Schizosaccharomyces pombe: one gene and its partners. Changing the gene in region 1 together with any one later gene gives a genetic interaction. Each region holds a gene or a part of one and is shown in the gene's direction. Other genes may lie near its edges.

The links. Genes that interact genetically often act in the same process or in processes that back each other up.
Region 2: mutations in wwm3 (region 1) and mug93 together harm fitness more than expected from each alone (negative genetic interaction), as found in Schizosaccharomyces pombe (one large-scale study listed by BioGRID).
Region 3: mutations in wwm3 (region 1) and SPOM_SPCC18.17C together harm fitness more than expected from each alone (negative genetic interaction), as found in Schizosaccharomyces pombe (one large-scale study listed by BioGRID).

What each region holds. Positions count from the first base shown.
Region 1 is NC_003423.3:200,418-204,516, forward strand, and holds wwm3 (protein wwm3), read left to right. Parts: upstream 1-1,863; 5' UTR 1,864-2,118; coding exon 2,119-2,550; 3' UTR 2,551-3,206; downstream 3,207-4,099.
Region 2 is NC_003423.3:1,459,891-1,463,583, forward strand, and holds mug93 (TPR repeat-containing protein), read left to right. Parts: upstream 1-1,828; coding exon 1,829-1,885; exon of another isoform or gene 1,886-1,944; coding exon 1,945-2,054; exon of another isoform or gene 2,055-2,208; coding exon 2,209-3,193; downstream 3,194-3,693. Other genes in the region: rRNA endonuclease Utp24, read right to left, coding at 1-94; ribosome biogenesis protein Llp1, read left to right, coding at 685-732, 872-1,177. UniProt on the Schizosaccharomyces pombe protein: Has a role in meiosis.
Region 3 is NC_003421.2:1,985,834-1,990,175, reverse strand, and holds SPOM_SPCC18.17C (proteasome non-ATPase regulatory subunit), read left to right. Parts: upstream 1-2,000; 5' UTR 2,001-2,036; coding exon 2,037-3,503; 3' UTR 3,504-3,842; downstream 3,843-4,342. Other genes in the region: fum1 (fumarate hydratase), read left to right, coding at 76-1,545; riboflavin kinase Fmn1, read left to right, coding at 4,234-4,342.

The sequences.
Region 1 (4,099 bases):
TGACTGGTCATCCAGGTAATTAAAGAGAGGGAGAAATTTTTGAGGTTGATTGTTTTCATCCCGCCCTTCCTATTAGCAATAAGGAAATTTGGTGTTGTTTATTTAACGAGATTTTTCGTGGGTTGATGGTATGTGGCTTCAGAATGGGATAATAACCTTGCATTGAAAGAGCAGGATATAAAGCATGCTTCAAAATATGTGTGCTATTAGCTATATTTTAAAAGACGTGTATTTTACCACAAATTTATTCTTCACATGTAATTTTCATACATTCACTTTTATTCTTATATAAACTAATGTCCCGTGGAATTTTCACTAAGCTACTACTATATTTATTCATAGAACGAGAAACCACCCTTTGTGGACATTTAGACTATTATTCTAACTTGATTCACGTGCCGTGTTGGTAAAAGCATAAGTTCAATTAAAAGAGCTTTTATCTCTAAAATAGAAGCAACAAATGCGATGCGAGTAGGAATGAAGTCAATTCTTAAAGGTAAAGCTTCTACCAAGATAAACTTACATATGAGTTAATAAATATTATGGTTAGGATACTCAAATTATAAGATAGCTTTTTGAGATTGTTTTTTGTTTGTAATATATTATTTTTTTTTTTTTTTCCTGTTTCGTTAGATCGTTATTTATTTTATTTTATTGTACTGTGTTTATTTTATTTTATTGAATAGTTCTTATGTGTGTGTTGTCTTTTTTAAATTTAATATTAAATGACATCTTTTTATTTTTTTATTTTTATTTTTCTTTAGCTTCACTTAAACCAATTATTCCTTTTAACTCATCGTCCATATTAACTATAATGTCTCCATACTATTTATGCTTCCTTAATTTCAAATTTCTCATTAACATTAATTTTACATCTACATCTACATTTATATATTTTTTTTTTGCAAACCTACGTAGAGTAACTTTCTCTTTTCCTTCGTTAAAACGATATCAATTTTAATACGAATTTACTCATTGTATTTCCATCTTTTCTCGTCTCCTCGCTCTAATCCTTTGTCGCTTTGATTTATTTGATTGCACTTACTCCATTGAAAACTCTTGATTCCCCGAACCCCCACATCCATCCAGTCCTTGAGAGATGCAAGACAAGAGAGGTTCATGGACCCAAGTGGGGTCGATTTTTTTTGGAGTGAGTTCCTTTTGATATCAATTGACCATGCTAAAAGCTTGACAAAAACAAGTATTTATCCAAGTGAGAACTAATTCACTAAGTAGATAATTTTTTGTTAAAGTTAGTTTTATGAAACGTACGTTTACTATTTACTCAAAAAAATTGAACCGAGATATCGGAGTCAATGCTATTCGCGATTCAAAAGAAAGATCAAGTGTTAACAGGAGCTTGAGTCGAATTTTCATACACTCATATACCCAAAGAAACACATTAATAAACAAACACCTAACTTGGCGTTTGTTTTCAAATACTAAACGAGCGCTGACGTCAATGGCTGATCGATCTATAGACTAGCGAAAATAGCAATAATTTGTACAATTGGAAGATCATAAGTATACATGGGTTTGAGCTTTTAGCGTGCACATTTTCGTATCAATTTCTTTTCTGAATGTAACTAAAAGACACTACAGATATTGTAGTAAATTCATCTTCCAATTCACTGCTTTGCTGTTAGGATATCGGGTACACAATCGCAAAATAGATTGCGGCAGCTTTCGGCCCCGCTCATATGTTTTCTATTCCGATGGAAGAAAAAGAGTTCAAATCGCACTCGCTTCCACACTACAACTACGCAATAACTCATCATTTCCCCACAAAAGTGACGTATTGTCCGTCGGCTATGTCCTAATGCAAAGCTTTATTTATTTGCGAGTTTTCCTCACCTTTTCGTCAATCTAATTTCAATCAATCATTTTTTTTACTTGCTTCATTTTCAAAGCATTCGTTATTCTAATCTTTTCTTCATTCTTACTATAACGAGATCATAAATTCTTTCTTGTTATACATACCGTTTCTACTTCGCTGCTAATTCTTTTTTTCTTTTGACATTTGTGCCTGTCTATTAATAATTCTTAACAGACATACTCTACTTCTCACTACTTCTTTTTTTCTAAGTTACAGTTTCTCATTAATTACTTTATCGAAAGATGTCTGTTTATCAAACTTACAAGGGCTTGCCAGCTGGTTGGGTCGCCCAATGGGATCCAACTTATCAAGCTTACTTTTACATTAATGAAACGTTTGAAGGTGCTCAACCACAGTGGGAGCCTCCTATTCCAGGCTTGCATATTCCTCCTCCTCCCGGTACCACTACCGTCGTCTATCAAAAGGACGTGCCTCGCTCTTCTGACGGCTCACGGTCTATGACGGCTGGATTAGGAGGTTTCATGGTTGGAGCTTTAGCCGGCAGTGTTCTTCGTGGTCACCGTGCTTACTACGCCCCTCCTCCTCCCAGAGGCCCTTTGTTTGGTCCAAGAATCGGTGGTGGCCATCATGGCCCACTTCATGGTCCTCACGGTGGTTTCGGCGGCCGCGGTGGTGGACGCATGGGTGGACGTGGTGGACGTGGCCGCAGATGAAAAGCGTTGATTTTTATTTAAATTTGGTTCCGATTTCGTCCTACATACTATGGTCGTTGATTATGGAATCGCTCTTTTTTTTTGAGAACATCACTTTCTCCTTTGAATAGAATCACCAAATTCACGTATACGACTCTTTCGAAATTGTTAAATGGAAAACACGATATCCAGTGAAGTTCTTTTTATTCCCTTGAAATTTCATACTATTTTTGCTAATCGTTCTAAAATTGTTATATTCTGTTAGTCGTTCTTTGACCTAATTTCTTGTTTACTTATATTAATTTTGTTATCATCTGATCTTTACTTGTTTCAAGCTTCCTTATTTATTGTACCATTGCATTCTTTATTGGGATTTCGAGGAAAACGGTCTAATTTATAAAATTTCTGTTTAATACCAAAGAAGTAAGGAGCATATATTATAATGGGTGTGAATATCGACGGAGTTGGTTGTCGATGGAATCATTTTTTTGGCATTTATCACTTCGACGTGTATTTACTTATTTATTTATATTTTTTTTTGGTTAATTGTAAAAAATTGGGTGAAGCACAATTTTTGAAACTTTTAAAAAATCAATGGTTGTTTTTTCAGACGTTAAATTAGTTTATTATGCATGATTTAAAATAGTCAATTATATATCTTTCATTTATTATTATCATTGTTTTTTCATTACTAGTTGTCCTTTTTTTTTGGGTATTTTAGTTGAATAGTTTATAGTGGTGTATTACTGACTATATAATTGGCAAACTCAGATATTTGTTTGGTTTTGGATTAAATGCACAATTCCGAAAAAATTAAGGCAGAAAGAAAAAAAATTTTTTTTACACTTATGGGATGTCATACCACTATTTTAAAAGACAAACAGATATCATTTGAATCGTTTAAAACCTGTATTTATCAAGCTGTTTAAAATAAGAGAAATATAACTTGGCTCTTGGATACACATAATGAAATAAGAAAAGTTAATATATTTCAAAATTAAGAAATATTATCTACGGTACAACATTTATTTGTTCATATTACGATTATTCAGTAAGGATACGTAAATTTGTACCTGGCAATTATCAAATGAATGTCGAGGGTTTTCATAGCAATGCAAAACCGTTTGTTTTTAAGCAAAGCCGGCGATTAAAAAGGGTAATAAGAGCAATTTTCCTTTTTCAATTAGCTATGTTTCAAGTCAAGCAGCATTAGTGAAACCCTGATATTCTGAGTTTGAATAAAACAAATTGGCAGTCTATTTTCCATGAACAGCTTTCGATAATTAGTGAAGTACTTTTAAAAACACGTTAATACCACTTTAATGGAACTCGTAAATTCGTAAACTAGGAATGACGAATTATGGTTTGGGGCAATCACGATATAGTAAAATAACGAAATTTGCATAATGCTACTACCACTACATCAGCCTCTTATGTAATGATCTGTAGCGTATCAGATTTTCATTTCTTTTATAATCGTTCTATACCACTGCGCGATTTCTCCTTTTCCCTAACAGATACAGCTTACCACCAAAACTTTCTATCTTTAATACTCGAAAAATTAAGTATA
Region 2 (3,693 bases), 1.3 Mb from region 1:
CTTTTTTCTGATCTTTCTTTTGCAATCGTTGATCCTTAAGGTTTATGACTCGCTTTACCTGAGCAAATTTGCGTGTAGTTTTTGCTTTACCCATTGAAAATAATTAACGGAAGAGAAAGAAGAAGTGATTTAATTTACAAGTTTCGCATTCAACGTCCAAAGCTCTAAATACCCTTTCAATTGGAAGTGCCCAAAAAAATTATTAGTTGTTCAAAGAGGGAAGCAGGCTGCTGGATGAGACTGAAGGACAATGAAGTTCAATGCATTCTTAAAACTTCCATAATGTAAAATAGTGTATCACAATGGAAGCATAACGTATTTTTAATCCAACTGATCGTTAAAAAAATAAATAGGTATATTTATATAACGATACGAAAAAATACATAATACAACTTTACGCGACATACTTTCTTGTATATTACATTGCCCAAATTATTTCTTTCAATTAACTTATTGTGGTTCAAGGGTAGAAGAGACGGTGAACCGCCCAGACATATGTAGTACGTATTTTAATATGAATTACTTTATTCACTAAAACTTCATGATACATTCTGCTAAATAGTGCTTTCCCTGCGTACCCTACAAACGGTATAGCTTATAACGAATACCAGCGTGCTATTTTAAATGATATAAGTTTTGTAAAAATGGATGAACCTTTGCATTCAACTTTTTCACACATCAGCAATGGCAAAATCAGCACGTTCAAAAAGCATTCGTCGCAATAAAAAAGTGGTATGTTGTATAGTATAGACAAATGAAGGGATTGAATGTCTTTTTTTTTGGTTTCGGAAACGGTTTATGTACAATGGAACCGTCTTTAAAACAATTGCCCTTCTCATACCTCTTTATCGATTATCTAACAAAGTAATAGCTTAGAGAAAACGTTTTTCAACCCGTAATTGATGAGCGGACTAAGCGTTTGTCTGCGCACTTACGTGACCAGGTCAATGACCTTACAAAGTCATCCTCTAGCAAAGAAGAGGGAATCGCCGATAATTCCTTGAAAGAAGTCAGCAGTTCAGAAGTATCCGATAACGTTGGTATGGAAGTTGATCAGCCTAAAGTCTCTACTTCTGGTCCTCGTGACAACAATCGCAACAAATGGGCAAAGAAACATTTAAAGAAAGGAAAGCGTGCCAAGAACAGTAACTTTTCGAAATTTTTGAAGAAAAAGTAAATTTAAGTTCACCATTTAATATATAAACTCCGAGATCTTTTTAAGAACTAATTATCAATCTTTTTTCTCAGATTTTTTTCCTTGGGATAATTTTATTTTCAAATTTCTGGTTTTCAACTGGAGACGTTGACCGTGTTGCATAAGGATTTTGTTTGCTTTTGGGGGGTTTGGATTATTTTATATTATTCTTTATAAAAACATATTTTTTTCCAATAATGAATATTTTGTTTCAAAGACTTACTTTTTTTCACGATGAAGTTTCTATATTGTTGGAATAAGTCAATTTTTTAATTTTATTTTTTATATTTATTGTAATTAAGTACGATGTAACTAATAACGTCTCTCTGTCTCAAAAACTGCACTTTTAAATCGTGCTTTTTGCTTTGTTTACCACATGAAATAGAATTAGTAATGCTCTTGGTTGTAAAACCTGATTTTTACAGAAATGTAATAAAGTATGAATATCTAAATATTAAATTAATTTTATTTGCGTATTTTTTATCGCTTAAAATATAATTTTAGTTATTGTTTGTTTACAAAAGTGCACATGGTTATGATATGCCTTCACACATACATTCCAATATTGTTCTACCACATAAACAAATAGATTGACATTCCATCTGATTTGAACCATCTGCATTCAAAATCGCAATGGAAGAAAAGGAGAACGTAAACTTGGTGGAAAAAAGCAATTATGTTGCACTAGAGGTATGCTCTACTTTGATTACCAGAAGATGTTTGTAACGTTTCTAACCCTCAATAAACAGAACACACGAGAAATAGATGTTTTTGATGAATTCCTTAATGCAATTGGAAATGAAAACACCATTACACCGGTTTACGCCGATAGCTCATTAACTCATTTGCGCAAAAAATCGTATGTAACATAATAAATTTAACAAATTACCTATGTCACAAAGGTTCAGAGAATCCTTTGGATTATTAACGGGGTTTCTCGAAAGAAAAAAAAACATCGTCTGAACCTTTGCAGCAGTTTTGCTTTTATGCTAACTAACTTATTTTGCATGCAGCTATACTAAAGTAGTTCATGACTGTACATATGCTCTAGTCATCAATCCGTATGATAAAAAAGTGATATGGAGGAGAGGACTAGCTTATTTGCGACTTGGACATCCTCACTTAGCCAATCGTGATTGGGAGCATTCACTTGAACTGGACCCAAACAATACATACATCCAAAAATCTCTTCATAGATTAAAGGAAGTGTATTACATTTACAGAGAATGTGCAGAAACATGGCAGTTAAGACACCTTAGAGTTGCTTCTTCTCAGCAATTACCTGTAGGATTGCGAAAACAATACCCTAATATAATTCGTGGCAAGATCTGGTGGAAGAAAGTGCACGACAATTGCCAATTGTGTGGACAGCAATGCGAACTGAAAAAGGAGAATCTTTCAGCAATGCGGTCTATGCTTTACATGGCAAATACTTATGCAAAGGATGATACCGAAAATCACTCGCCCAGCGCCCAAATCGGAATAGAAAGCTCGGAGGACGAATTAGAAAATAAAATAACTAAGGGAGAACACTCTCTATTGGTCCCAGAGGAACTGTACAGATCCAATTACCCATGCCCTCAAAACATAGATCAGTTTCTTTATATGATAAAAGTCCTATCTGCCCCCTGTTTGTACATTGAAACGTTTTCATTTCCTATTTCCACAATTAATCAATTGTTCAAAGCTCATGGAATGTCGGTTGAGCAGTTAAATTTATTCTTAAAATCAATACACTATATCGGATTGTGTTCAAGGTTTTGCAAGCAATGGTCCGACAAGGCACGATCGCTGATGCAAGCGTTGAGTGGGCTGCCGTGGTTCAGTTTTGTCGTGCAACATTGTTTACATATAACGGCAGCTCAAATTCTTTTGCATATTCCTGACATCCAAGAAGAAGAATTCAGAAACTGGCATGTTTCCAAAAAACCCATCAACAATACTGATCTCTCTTCTGAATTTGAAATTGCAGAGATCCCAATCAATTGCTACACATGATAACATTGATGACAATAAATTTTTGTATGTTAAGTCAGTCCAGAAACCATCGATGCAATCATTTGGAGTAGAAGGCATTAATAACCGTGTGTAGTTTATGAATAACACATTCATTGTATATCAACCTCTTATTTTCAGTGCTGAAATAATCATTATCAACCACATGAAGCTATATATTTGTGGGCAAAGTAGAAATGTTTGCCATTTTGTTTACCGCCGGATACACCAAGCAATGAAGACAGTCATCGACCCAATACACAAGTATTGTCCGTCAAATGTTAAGTGTAATTGTTAAAGAAATTGAACAAAATGAAAGAGACAAAAAAACTTTCAAGACAGTTTTGTGTTGCACACCAATACTGCCGTTTCTCATACTCTGAGTATATGCCATGAATCGCATATTCACGATTTAATCAAAATAAAAAAGATATCCAAAATATCTACATCTCTGTTACTAAATTGCTTGTTTATTTATAACAAAGCCATTTCACAGATACACA
Region 3 (4,342 bases), on another chromosome or scaffold:
GTTGAGTCACATCTATTTCGCTTTACTCTATTGATTTATGCAATTTGCGTATGACACTAACTTTTTATTTTTTAGTTACCTCTAAAAACTCATAGAATGAATTCCACTACTCCGACTTATCATCTCATTCCCAAAGGCGGTAAGCATGGCGAGTTCCGACAGGAATCTGACACCTTTGGTCCCATACAAGTCCCTGCAGAAAAGTATTGGGGTGCTCAAACTCAGCGTTCTCTTCAAAACTTTCGAATTGGTGGTGAAAAAGAGCGACTTCCTCTTCCCTTAGTTCGCGCATTTGGAGTTTTAAAGCGTGCGGCTGCTTCTGTTAATCGTGAATTCGGTTTGGATCCCAAACTTGCAGATGCCATTGAACAGGCTGCCCAAGAAGTCATTGATGGTCGTTTGGATGATAACTTCCCCTTGGTTGTTTTCCAAACTGGCTCGGGCACCCAATCCAATATGAACAGTAACGAGGTAATCGCTAATCGTGCCATAGAAATCCTTGGTGGTACGTTAGGTTCGAAAAAGCCCGTTCATCCAAACGATCACGTTAACATGTCTCAATCTTCTAACGACACTTTCCCCACTGTTATGCATATTGCCTCTGTTTTGCAAATTCACACTCATTTACTTCCTGCCATGAAGCACCTCCACCGGGCCTTGAAGGGTAAGGAAGAGGAGTTTAAGAACATTATCAAAATCGGTCGAACCCACATGCAAGATGCCACTCCTCTTTCTTTAGGTCAAGAATTTTCCGGCTATGTTACTCAGGTTGGTTATGGCATTGAGCGCATAAACAACGCTCTTCCTCGTCTTTGTCTTCTCGCTCAAGGTGGTACTGCCGTGGGTACTGGACTAAATACTTTTGAAGGATTTGACGTGAAGGTTGCTGAGAAGGTTTCAAAGCTTACAAATATTGAGTTTAAGACCGCCCCTAACAAGTTTGAGGCTCTTGCAGCCCATGATGCGATTGTGGAGATGAGTGGTGCTTTAAATGTTATTGCTTGTTCTCTTATGAAAATTGCTAACGATATTCGTCAACTTGGTTCTGGCCCTCGTTGTGGTTTAGGCGAATTGATCCTTCCTGCTAATGAACCTGGAAGTTCAATCATGCCAGGCAAAGTAAACCCCACCCAATGTGAAGCCTTAACAATGGTTTGTGCTCAAGTAATGGGCAATCATGCCACTATTACTGTCGCTGGTGCCTCCGGACACTGTGAACTCAATGTTTTTAAACCTCTTTTAGCAAAGAACATTCTAAGCAGTATTCGTCTTTTAGGGGATGCTTGCGAGTCTTTTACTGATCATTGCGTTGTCGGCATTGAGCCAAATTACGAAGGTATTGCCCGTCATCTTCGTGATTCCTTGATGCTTGTTACTGCGTTAAATCCTCACATCGGTTATGATAACTGTGCCAAGATTGCCAAGACTGCTCTTAAAAATAAGAGCACTCTCAAGCACGAGTTTGTTACTTTGGGTTTCGGTACCCCCGAGCAATTCGATGAATGGGTTCGCCCTGAATTAATGATTTCAGCTAAGAAAGTATAATTTTTTACCACTCTACTTGTTGGTCCGTTAATATTGGATCATCAGTTGTTGCTCTTTATCCTTTTTCATGCTCTTTATCCATCCTTCTCTTTTATCTTCTCTCAACTTACTTTTTACGAAAATCATTCCCCTTCTCATAATATTAACTAGCTTTTTTGCAAAAATACCCATTATGTTAAATGAGTTTTTTTTTCTTGCACAAGCCATAGGCTCTCAAACAAAATAGTAGGCACTCATTTAAAAAAAATGGTTAGTTCGTGAAGTAGATTAATGCGTAATTTTGATTAAGTGTTTCTTTGTTTTCCACCCCTACAGTTATAGTCGTAAACCAAGAATGCAAAGGTGTTTGATACCCTTTTCTTTGTATGTGTATTTCCTTGATATTCGGTTGCTCGGTTAAAATTAAGCTTACTTAAACGAGATAAAATTGCCTCTTGCCTGATTTCAGCCGATCCATCGCCAATATACGGGATCTGTTAAAAACAAGCCAAATGGATAGTATAGAACTCATACCAGGCTTACCAGGACCCGGTAGAAGACTATTACAGTTATTGAAAGATCTCCCTTCAAACCCGTCGGTTATCGTTCGTGAAATCCCTGATGCCATAGATGCGTTCCGTGAAAGTATAACGCCTGCTACAAGGCCATCATGCTTAGGACTCTTGGATACCATACTTAGTTGTTTTGAGCTTCCAATACCTACCGAGCCGATTATGAAGGCTTTGGGTAAGCTGCTTGAGCCAATGAGTTGGGCCGATTTGAAAAAGTTTGGAATTGAATCTTACTTGGTTACTGGACTTGAACATCCTTCTACAGATGTCGAAATCTTTTGTCTGCACCTTATACGCCGTGCAAATTGGGAAAAGAAGGAGATTGGTGAACCACTGTTTGAGGCGATTATGGCATGCATCAACTCTCGAAGCATAGCAGTTTCCGAAGAAGCTACTGTTTTGCTATTCGATATGGCAGATTTTCCATACTACTTTAATTTAATTATAAAGCGTTTTACATTTGTTGACTATGAAATTATGAACTCTACGCTGAGGGTACGCTGGTTGACACTGTTCGCAAAACTGTCTACGAAGTCTCCAGAATATTTGGAAGAACTGATTAAGGACGACAAGCTTGTAATTAATGGTGACAATAAAGACATATTGCTTCAAATTAATTTCGTGGATGTCCTTGGGATAATGTTAGAGGCTCCTTTTACATACGAGTATATAAGTTCTGAAAAAACAAAGTATTTGGACACGATCGCTCAAGACTACAAAGGTTCAGCGGATTCTTATACGGATCATATTGGATTAAAGTTCCTTCCCAGGCTCTGCGAATTGCATCCAGACGCTATTAACTCGTTGGATGAGAAGCATCAACTATTTGACGCTGTTCGCGAGAGAATGAAGACGAACGATGCTACATCTATTCTTCTTTACGGAGTTTTTTTGTCTAACACAGTGGTAACTCAAGCACTTATCAAGAAATATGGCATTGAGGACGAAGCTAATCGTTATGTGCCAAGATGGTTGACAAGACGATTTTTGATGGACGAACCGGGTATGTCTTCTTTTGCTCATGCTCTTTTACAGCCTGATCATAATTTGTGGATGCAGCTTTGGAGAATATTACCTCCCAACACCTTGAGCACTTTAGTAAACACTGCTTCTTCTCCGATTCCTCGTTCTAGGCAACTAGCATACCAATGCTTGCTACACATTGCTCAAAATTCGCCTATCCAAATTGCTTCTGAAGGATTCGCTATCCGTCATTTACTTGAAGCAGAAGGTGACCATGAAACATGCTTACTGCGGTTTCAAGTGTTAAAGACCATGATGGAATCTCCTCATGGCGGACCCAAGCTACCTTTTGGTAGATATCGGGAAGACATTCTTAAAAGACTACAGCAAGGGCCGATTGTTAGCGGTGCTTCAACGTTAAAAGTGGCCGCAGAAACTGCTTAAGTAGTTTACAACTATTATATTCCAAAAAATCTTGCTTTCTTCTATTATTACAGCAAGCAAAATTTTCCCTCTTTTTCGACTTCCTTAAACGTCAGGTTCGTATGCCGCTTTTTTTGAAATATGATGTATAAAAAAAAATGGCTGTTAGCTATAGGGATAGTGTTTAGTTTCTTAACATGGATATTTATAGTCCTATATATTTTCACAAATGGAAAGCTTTTATGAATTGCAATTTCACTTTCACTTGGCAGTCTTTGGGGACGGAATTTATGGATGCCACCCAAGGCCTTTTGTCAATCTAATAATTATGCAATTGTCTACTTGTTTCTCAAAAAATTTAATTAATAACTATTTTATTTTGTGCCCAGAACAGCGCTGTAAAACTGCTTGAATACCAAGCGCTATTATATTAAGGTTAAATCTTTAATTCCTCTTGAATATCAAACGCAAGTTTTTTATTAAACTTACGAATTCATAATAGAGTTAAACAACCGTTGAGCATTTGTGGTTATTACCAACCTTGAGATTTAACCATTGATGGTCAATGGTTGATGAACCAATTGTTTTATTATTTTTTTGTTATTCATAGATATCAACTAAACTAATTTAAAATAAGCGTAATGGAAATATTTGTCCAACATGACTCTCTTCATTAGGCTGAGCTACGCTTACTAACTACCTACTTCCACTAGTATTTTTCCAATTGCGCTAGCAACCTTTGATTTACTCTATGACAGTTAATTTAGAAGAAAAGAGGCCTGAAATTGTTGGTCCTGAAAAGGTGCAAAGCCCTTATCCTATTCGCTTCGAAGGGAAAGTTGTTCATGGCTTTGGTAGAG